2 linked regions of the Mus musculus genome follow. Each later gene encodes a partner of the first gene's protein in a complex. Links are inferred from orthologs where the notes say so. Each region holds a gene or a part of one and is shown in the gene's direction. Other genes may lie near its edges.

Region 1 (5,636 bases):
TCTTTTTTTTTTTTTAATATTTTTATTAGGTATTTTCCTCATTTACATTTCCAATGCTATCCCAAAAGTCCCCCATACCCTCCCCCCACTCCCCTACCCACCCACTCCCACTTTTTGGCCCTGGCATTCCCCTGTACTGGGGCATATAAAGTTTGCAAGTCCAATGGGCCTCTCTTTCCAGTGATGGCCGACTAGGCCATCTTTTGATACATATGCAGCTAGAGTCAAGAGCTCAGAGATACTGGTTAGTTCATAATGTTGTTCCGCCTATAGGGTTGCAGATCCCTTAAGCTCCTTGGGTACTTTCTCTAGCTCCTCCATTGGGGGCCCTGTGATCCATCCAATAGCTGACTGTGAGCATCCACTTCTGTGTTTGCTAGGCCCTGGCATTGTCTCACAAGAGACAGCTATATCTGGGTCCTTTCAGCAAAATCTTGCTAGTGTGTGCAATGGTGTCAGCGTTTGGAAGCTGATTACGGGATGGATCCCCGGATATGGCAGTCTCTAGATGGTCCATCCTTTCATCACAGCTCCAAACTTTGTCTCTGTAACTCCTTCCATGGGTGTTTTGTTCCCAATTCTAAGAAGGGGCAAAGTGTCCACACTTTGGTCTTCATTCTTCTTGAGTTTAAAAAATATGGAACGCTTCACGAATTTGCGTGTCATCCTTGCGCAGGGGCCATGCTAATCTTTTCTGTATTGTTCCAATTTTAGTATATGTGTTGCCGAAGCGAGCACCCAGCTACTGATTCTTAAAGTGATAACCAAACAGTATATGATTGCCAGTTGCCAGGACTCAAACCAATGCAGCTCCAAGCAACTGTAATTTAAATATTGCCAGAGCTGAAGAAGATAACTAATCAATTTTTTAAAAAGGGTATGTGGTAATTATAAGAATGTAAAAACCTCACTCAGCAAGCATAAAGCTCCTAATGTGTAATTACAGACTTCCCTTGACTTCTCTTGCTAACGCTAGTAATGGTTCTGTGAGACTATGCTGGTGTCTATGTTGGGCAAGTGTGGAAACAGGCTCAGACTTCCCTTGACTTCTCTTGCTAACGCTAGTAATGGTTCTGTGAGACTATGCTGGTGTCTATGTTGGGCAAGTGTGGAAACAGGCTCAGAGACCTGGACTTAGTCAGATCACGCTGCATGTGTCACTGCCAATTAATCAACTTTATTGTGGCTCACAAGGAAACCCGGACGACAGCCCTCTTCTTGTGTCCACCAAAGACAGACAGCATTTTCCAGTTTCCTGGGAGGAAGGATGAAGAGCTTTCCAGCCAGCATCTGATGATAAAGCAAGAGAATCCAGAAACGGCCAGTGGGGACCACTCCCTCCCTTGGTCCTGATCTCCAGAGCCCGACAGCAACTCCCTGCACTTACTGTGACTCCCCCCCCCCCCCCCCCCCGCCTGTTCTTCTGGGAAGGGTCCCCTTTCCTCTCAAGGAGTCTTGCAAGTATACCTCTCAACATTTCTGTCTGTCTTCGCCTGTAACTCCGTGTAAGTGTCTGACTCATGTGTCTCACTAGTCTTTTTAGGATAAAGATTGTGTGTATGTGGGGTTTGTTGTTGTTTTTCGAGATAGGGTTTCCCTGTGTAACAGGACTGGCTGTCCTGGAAATTGCCCCATAGACCAGGCTGGCCTTGAACTCACAGGGATCCGCCTGCCTTTTCCTCCCAAGTGCTGGATTTAAAGGCATGTGCCACCAATTCCAGGCTGTATGTGGGGTTTCTAAATTTTGTTTTTATTTATTTTTATTTTTTTAAAAGATTTTATTTGGGGTTGGAGAGATGGCTCAGTGGTTAAGAGCAGTGACTGCTCTTCCAGAGGTCTGGAGTGTCTGAAGACAGCTTACATATAATAAATAAATAAATATTTTCTTTAAAATATTTATTTATTTATTTTTTATATATATGACGAGTACCCTGTAGCTGTCTTCAGACACCAGAAGAAGGCGTCAGATCCCATTACAGATGGTTGTGAGCCACCATGTGGTTGCTGGGAATTGAACTCAGGACCTCTGGAAGAGCAGTCAGTGCTCTTAACCGCTGAGCTATCTCTCCAGCCCCTTGTTTTTATTTTTAAATTTTATTTTTAAATTATGTATATCTGTGTGTCGGTATGTGCATGTGAATACAGTGGCCCTCACAGGCTAGAAGTCCTCTCTGTCTTGGATTTAGGAGCCTCTACTCAGCTGTCCATACAATCCTTGTTAGAATTCTCTTCCTAAAGGTGTCATCCTTTAGGCCTCCCCAAAATTCACAGGGTATGCAATGAATGACTAACCTAGAAGAGCCCAACTGCCCATTACAAATATGGCTTCGATTGCTTCACTTCCTGCATCACGTGACCGGCTTAGTCATCATGTGACTCTGTCCGCCCCTTTAAGCCGGAAGGAACTTGCTGTGCTAGTCGGTTCCAAGAGCTATGATATCTGTCTGTGTTTTATTTGGTAGGTCTTCTATCCCTCCAAGGCACAGAAACTTCCACAGTCTTCTCATTCGCTGGTCCTGAGTAGCTCCAGTTTCCAAGATCTTCTGGAGAGGTAAGCGGGCAGGGCTACAATTTGCCTTGTCAATCTTGCTTCGGGAATTCTGCCTATCTAGATTATGGAATTCGGTGAGTTCAATTTTTTTTTTTTTAAATTCAGGGCATCATGGCTCTTTGAGGGCACAGATGGAGGGAGGGCTGAAGGTTGAAATCGATGGGGGAAAAGAGTGAAGAGAGTCTTCTTTGGAGTGGGCAGCAAACTCCCTAGCAGAGTGAATGAATGCAGGACGCCTCCAGGGTCTACGGGCACTGTCTAATCACTAATAAAGGTGGGAGCCTATGCTGTGAGCATCCACAGGCAGCTAAACTCTGGCCAGGAGGGTGGTTGCAGGGTAGAGAGAGTCTTACACTATTATCTTTCCTCTACATTTTCTTCTCAGAAGTGTGCTGGTGTCATGGCTGCCAGGCTCATCGGATTCTTCCTATTTCAGGCGGTATCTTGGGCATATGGTGAGTCTAGGATGGAGATGGAGGCATGAAGGTGTCCCCTGCCCCCAAAGTCCTCTGGTAGCCTTCCATTATGGTGCTGAAATTTCAGTAGGGACTCTGTAACTCTTTTAGAATGCCTGAGACATCTTTGGGCTGGGAGTATGGTGGAAGGATTTTTTTAAAAAAATATTTATTTATTTATTATATGTAAGTACACTGTAGCTGTCTTCAGACACACCAGAAGAGGGCGTCAGATCTCGTTACAGATGGTTGTGAGCCACCATGTGGTTACTGGGATTTGAACTCCAGACCTTTGGAAGAGCAGTCGGGTGCTCTTACCCACTGAGCCATCTCACCAGCCCGGATTTTTTTTTTTTTAATTGTTGTTCTGTCTCGTACCTAGCATGCCCACTCCCTCATAAACCCGCTTTGATGCCTGCCTCTGCTTGTGCCCTGCCTCCTAGGTGCCCAACCCTGCATCCCCAAAAGCTTTGGCTACAGCTCAGTGGTCTGTGTCTGTAATGCATCGTACTGTGACTCTCTTGACCCCGTGACCTTACCGGCTCTGGGTACCTTCAGCCGTTACGAGAGCACTCGACGTGGACGTCGGATGGAGCTGAGTGTCGGGGCCATCCAGGCCAATCGCACTGGCACAGGTAGCCACTTTATCTGTCCCTCTAAGCCTGGACCCAAAGTCACACCAGTGATCAGCATGTCCTCTTCTGGACTCTGACTTTTCCTCTTCTTTTCCCAGGGTTACTACTCACTTTGCAGCCAGAAAAGAAGTTCCAGAAAGTGAAAGGATTTGGAGGCGCCATGACAGACGCCACTGCGCTCAACATCCTTGCTTTGTCCCCACCTACTCAGAAGCTGCTACTCAGATCCTACTTCTCTACCAACGGTGAGGAGGGCAGAGCAAGGTGGTACACTGTAACTTATGCCCCTTTTCATACCCTGGCTTTATTTTATTTTTAAATTTTTTATTACATTTCATTATCTCTTGTGTGTGCTGTGCATGAGTGAGGGGGAGGTCAGAGGACAATTTTCGGGTGTCCACTGTCCACCATGGGACCCATGGGCTAGAGTCGGGGGTCTTCCCACGGAGCTGTCTTGCCAGGCTTTTTGCTCTTGCTTCCATACTTTTCCCGGACATTTGCCTCCCTTCCTTTTCTTCTCTCCTCGCCTCTGTAATGCTCCTGGAGTAGACCTCATGTGTTCCAGACAAATCTACTGTGTAGTCAGTGATGGCTGAACTCCTGCCTCTCGTCTCCTGAGTGTTGGAATTACAGGTGTGCATTAGCAAGCCCAGTTCACACAGTGTTGGAGCTCAAACTTAGGGCGCCATGCATCCTTGGCAGGCATTCTGCCACCTGAACTACATCCCCAGCCTGCCTCTCAGTTCTTACTCTTTCCCTTTGTCCCATCCCTACCTTGCTTTACCAGGCTTGCCTCGAACACTGTAGCCATGACTAGCCTCGAACTCTTTTCTGACTTAGTTTTCCAAGTGCTGGAATTACAAGTATTATGCCACCAAGTGTACCAGGCCGATGGTTCCTGACTCAGTGCCACTGAAATACGATCACCTTTTTCAATATTCTGCTAAGTACTTAGGAAATACATGTGCAGAGGGGCTTCGGTTTCACTTAGGTTCTGGTCTCCACAAGCCCACACCTAGACCCTGGCTCTGAATGAGGGCCTATTGAGGACTAATAACTGATTAAAGCCAATTTTCATACTCACCTTGTTTTATTTTATTTTATCTTATCTTATTTTGAGACAGGGTCTTGCCTTGTAGCCCTGGCTGGCCTGCTCACATTGATCTGGCTGCCTCAGCCTCAGGAGGAATGGGATCACAGGCATGGTACACTTGGCTCCATAGTCTCCTATTGATTCAGATCTCCCTATCTTGGCCATCAATTCCTGCAGGAATTGAATATAACATCATCCGGGTACCCATGGCCAGTTGTGACTTCTCCATCCGTGTCTATACCTATGCTGACACCCCTAACGACTTCCAGTTATCCAACTTCAGCCTCCCAGAAGAAGACACCAAGCTCAAGGTGGGCATTCTAGTTGCCTCAGCCCTATTGGATTGCCGTCTTGGGGCTGGGAAGGTCCAGGTTAGAGCTGTCTCTAGAGCAACATGGAACATTCTGCAGCCTATTTGACTTGGGGGTAAGAGGGTGGGGGCTGATGGTTGGACCTGATGCACTGGTAGAACTAGTATGTGTTCCAGCTCTGGGTGTCTCTCTCTTCACTGTTTGTCTCCAGATACCCCTGATTCACCAAGCCCTGAAGATGTCCTCACGCCCCATTTCACTCTTTGCCAGTCCCTGGACATCACCCACTTGGCTCAAGACCAATGGAAGAGTGAATGGGAAGGGGTCGCTCAAGGGTCAGCCAGGGGATATCTTTCACCAGACCTGGGCCAATTACTTTGTCAAGTAAGGGATCGTCAGGGCCCTGGGATCTGGACACCGTAGTCTACATCGTATCCCTTGACCTGCTCCACTTTCAACATTCCATGCCTTTCAGTTTGTTAGTTTTACCTATTGCCCATGTCTTGGTCCACTTTCTTGGCCCTGATCACTCAGGCCCTTTCTCTCTTGCCAGGTTTCTGGATGCTTATGCTAAGTATGGCCTAAGATTCT
Region 2 (4,373 bases), on another chromosome or scaffold:
ACAGGCCTGGAATTGACACTGGAAACTACTGACAAGAGGAAGCCCTGACTCTGACAAGCCTGGGACAGGTACTGGAAAATCTTCCACAGAGCCTGACACTCTGCCACCCCCAATCTAGTCAGTGCAAACCAAGCAGGAGTGTTCTTCACTCCTGTAGGTGTGTGTGTGTGCTCTTTTAATGCCTACCCATTACACCAAGTGAAGAAACCTGTTCTCACACTAAGATGCTATTCTAGAGTGTTTCCTTGATTAGGAATTCTCTCCGATCCTTGTTACCTCCACAACTCAGTTGAGCAATTTTTGTTGAGCCCAGTGACCATCACGTGGACTCAGGAGAGAATTGATACTGTTTAGATACCACTTTTGTAGTGTTTCAGCCATTCATTTACTCAGCCAGTATTAAGCACCTGCTGTGTACTGAGTACTCTCCCAGGTGCGAAGGTGGCTGAGCTGTCTTGCTTTCAGGGAACTGACAGTTACTGAACACAAACAAGTAAACTGTTATGCTGGTTTCAAGGACAAGGAACGAGGTTCTAGAGATAGCAACAAAAGCTCCTCTATCAGGCCTGAGGTAGCCAGAGACAATTCTAGAATGAAGAAATGCTAAGATGAATTTGGAGCGACCCATCTGACGCCAGGCAGAGGCTCCCATACCACTTATTTTTGTGTCGATGCAACAGAAGCAGCTTAAAGGAGAAAGGTTTATTATGGCTCGAGATTTCAGAAGGGCTTCAGTCTGTCGTGGCAAGGAGGCTATGTTGATGGGAGTGGTTGGCACAAGGCTGGAGTCACACCTCACTGGATCTAGAGGCAGTGCCACAAGTTGGAGGCCACCTTGGTCTACATTGTGAGTTCCAGGCTAGCCAGGGGTATAGAATGAGAGCCTATCTCAATATAAAATCCAAACAAACCAACAGACAAGAAAACAAAACCAGTCCTACAAGATGGTACCCAACATTTAAAACAGGAGCCTGTGGGGACATTTCAGACTCTAACGGTAACATATATTTTCTCTACATTTCTTAGCATCTTTCTCTATTTTCAGTCTATGATGAGTTATACTTGTCTTCAAGAGAAAATCGGTTGAGTAAACAAACGCCCTCTTTTGTTATTCTATGTGAATTCTCGGTATATATGGTTTGTTTGAAATGAGCACACACGCACACACGAGATAACTAGTCCTCAAGGTAATGCTATTTCTCCCCCTTCCAGAGTGTCCTCATTGACAAAGAGACCGCAAATCAACTGAAGTCTGTGATTAACACGACTTTGGTTGTCACCAACATACCCTACATCATTATGGCACTGGGTGTGTTCTTTGGCTTGGTTTTCACGTGGCTGGCGTGTCGAGGACAGGGGTCTATGGATGAGGTAAGTGCTGGGTGGAGGAATTGATCTTTTGTGGATATGTCTAGCTGAGGGATTCCTCAATAATCTATTGCATGGCTGCCAGCTGGCTCCTTTGGATAGACTTGGGGGGGTGGGGAGCACTGATTTTCACAGTTGCAGATGGACTGAGTGGTTTCCAGGGCTGGTATACATTGAGAAAGTCAGGGTGGGTGATAGAATGGAATGGTGCCATTTGGTGTTTGAGGGTCTCTTGATGGGTTTGGATACATCCCGTAGGAGGTAACTTCACATCTTTGAAAAAAATAGTGTGAAACAAGAATAGAAAACCTTAATCCCCTAAGCTTGGGTGCTGGACTGCCCGGGTTCAAATCCCAGTTCTACCAATAAACATCTATATGACCCTTAAAATGGCCTCAATTTCATCATCTGTAAAAGGAATGATAACAGAGTCTCCCTCATGAGTTTCTGGAGAGGATCAGATGATGTAGAAAGCATAGAGGATTTGACTCATTGTTTCTCAAGAAGCTTGGTTATTATATGTAATAAAAATAATTCCAATGTTGTAGAGAAAAGGGGCCAGAGACCACTTGTTAAGAATTCTTGGTATAAGCCGGGGCGGGGTGGCGCATACCTTTAATTCCAGCATTTGGGAGGCAGAGGCAGATTTCTGAGTTCGAGAGTTCGAGGCCAGCCTGGTCTACAGAGTGAGTTCCAGGACAGCCAGGGAGGGCTACACAGAGAAACCCTGTATCAAAAAACCAAAAAAAGAAAAGAAAAACCAAAAGAAAAAAAATCCTTGGTATATCTGGAGGTGTTATGGTTGAGATTCTGTAACAATGGTGAAAGGTGGTTGCATAAGAACCATTAATTTCCAGGAGGAATGGGATAAACCGGCTCAGATTGGCCTCTGAAGTGACCAGGAGTCTCATGGCTCCTGTAGAAGCCCTTCTGTTTCTATGGAATTAGAGGCTGAGGCAAGGGCCTGACACAAGCCAGGCACTCACTCTACCATGGAGACACATGCCTCGTCCTTAAAAACAAATGCATTTTGAGATGAGATCTCTCTGAGCTGCCTAGGTTGACCTTGAACTTGCTCTGTGGTCTAGCCAGGCCTTGAATTTGTGATCTTCACGCTTCAGCCTTCTCAGTGATGGATTACAGAGACCTGAACCACCAAGCCTGGCACAGACAGACACCCTTGAGTGCTTGGCAGTTTCTGCTTTTACTGCACACTTCTTCCCTTCAGTTATCCTTTAAACCATCTGAGCAGTGTGAAGCAGGAGATGAAGCTGGTTGAAACCAAATGGGTAACCATAGCTTGGAGGAAACCCATCTGTTATGTGGCTTTCACTCATGCTCGCCAGAGTTAGAAATAAGGCAAACTGCTTACCATTGCCACGTATGGATCTGCCAGTCTGTGTCATCAGCAGAATTTTCCTAGGTAAAAGCAGACCACCTAATAATGCTAATTAGCACCCCATAATCAATCTTCATGTCTTCCAAAAGTATTGGTGAGCATCTACAGCCTCTGAGACACTGCTCCCTGGTAGGTTACAAACCAGGAAGGAGGCAGTTTTGGTCCAGGATGCTAAGGGCTATAGTCCAGACCATACACAGAGAGGAGCTTGCAGATCTGGTACTGGGGGCTGGAGAGGAAAAGTTGTCCTCTAACAGGGTCGAGTTAGAGTCTTTTTTGTTGTTGTTGTTGTTTTTTGTTTTGTTTTGTTTTTTTTGTGACAGGGTTTCTCTGTGTAGCCCTGGCTGTCCTGGAACTCACTCTGTAGACCAGGCTGGCCTCAAACTCAGAAATCCACCTGCCTCTGCCTCCCAAGTGCTGGGATTAAAGGCATGCGCCACCACGCCCGGCCCGGGTTAGAGTCTTAAAGAGCAATGACAGCCAAGAGGAAGAGAAAAGTGGGGGAACTGCCTCCCCATCAGCTTCTCTTTTCACCTCTGCCACCTCGCCTCAACCCTTCACATCAGGACAGAAGTTCCTGACATGAACGTTTAACCTCTCTGTGTCTTCTCTGTCTGTCTCAGGGAACTGCAGATGAAAGAGCACCCCTCATACGAACCTAATGGGACTTACCTGTTGCCTGAGCTTGGTGAGAGAATGTGAGAGCTGCCCTGACCTGGACCAGGACAGGGGGAACCCTGCATCCTCATGGGCTCCTGGCCTGTCAAGAAGGAAACATAGCACTGGCAAGCGAGAAGCCCCTCCTGGTCAGAGGGAAATGAGCAGGGTGACATGGCTGGCAATTCTGCTTTATAAAATCGTGTCTCTAAAACTGTGTTCATGTGTCTAGGAAGTATTTAATAAACTTGTGTAGAAACTTTTTGTGGTTGGGCCCTGGGAGCTGAGGGGACTTCGTGACCCCCTGTTGTAGATACAATGTCTGAATCGCTTGTTAATGTTCCGTGGCCTGACCCGATTCAGTGTGCTTCATTCTCCAAACTTTGTGTTCAGAGTACGTATGTGTTTCTGTTGTTGTTCCCTGTTCACCTCCTTACACAGAAAGATGTGGTACCCAGGGTAGAATCACAGCTCCATACAGTGTACCAAGCAAATGGGGCTGCTTTCCTTCTGTAAAACATTACATTTTGTGTCTCGCTCTAATCTTCAGGAAAATAACTCAAGTCTTTTGATTGGTTTATAGTGTGTTAGGAATCAAGTAGGGGAAGGGATGGGGTGGGGTGGGGTGGTGTCTGTAAGTAGACAGCATTGAGCTCCTGAGGATTTTTAGTTGTGCTTTTGTGAAGCAAGAGGTTGCACTGGGAATGTTGGTGAGGGTAAGGCAGATATTTCATTTAGAATAGAGTTCAATGTTAGTTATGGCATCTAGAGGCTAACTGTCAATTTTAGTCAGAGATGTCTGGGTGTAGAATATGCTGCTGAGAGGACAGAATCAATGACTTCTAACCCCCTCCCTTCAGGCTTCTCTGCCACATAGGACAGTGACACGGAATGACAGTGTCTGCAAATATTGAGGGGTTATTTGTAAAATGACGAATGATGGAAGTCC

Evidence for each region. The genes of interacting proteins can lie anywhere in the genome.
Region 2: the proteins of Gba (region 1) and Scarb2 are in contact, whole or in part, in a cryo-EM structure (PDB 9FJF), measured with the Homo sapiens proteins. The link is inferred for Mus musculus from reciprocal best matches to the Homo sapiens genes GBA1 and SCARB2. Residues at the interface, in NP_000148.2 of Homo sapiens: Leu130, Asn131, Ala134, Ile169, Glu190, Lys194, Leu195, Pro430, Arg434, Ile445, Thr446, Asp448; in NP_005497.1 of Homo sapiens: Lys161, Ala162, Tyr163, Gln164, Lys181, Glu183, Leu187, Phe191, Arg192.

Annotation. Positions count from the first base shown.
Region 1 is NC_000069.6:89,200,536-89,206,171, forward strand, and holds the start of Gba (lysosomal acid glucosylceramidase precursor), read left to right. Parts: upstream 1-2,392; 5' UTR 2,393-2,551; intron 2,552-2,656; exon of another isoform or gene 2,657-2,825; intron 2,826-2,936; 5' UTR 2,937-2,951; coding exon 2,952-3,006; intron 3,007-3,449; coding exon 3,450-3,641; intron 3,642-3,739; coding exon 3,740-3,886; intron 3,887-4,911; coding exon 4,912-5,045; intron 5,046-5,256; coding exon 5,257-5,429; intron 5,430-5,598; coding exon 5,599-5,636. UniProt on the Homo sapiens protein: Glucosylceramidase that catalyzes, within the lysosomal compartment, the hydrolysis of glucosylceramides/GlcCers (such as beta-D-glucosyl-(1<->1')-N-acylsphing-4-enine) into free ceramides (such as N-acylsphing-4-enine) and glucose.
Region 2 is NC_000071.6:92,443,302-92,447,674, reverse strand, and holds part of Scarb2 (lysosome membrane protein 2), read left to right. Parts: intron 1-1,212; coding exon 1,213-1,371; intron 1,372-3,390; coding exon 3,391-3,429; 3' UTR 3,430-4,373.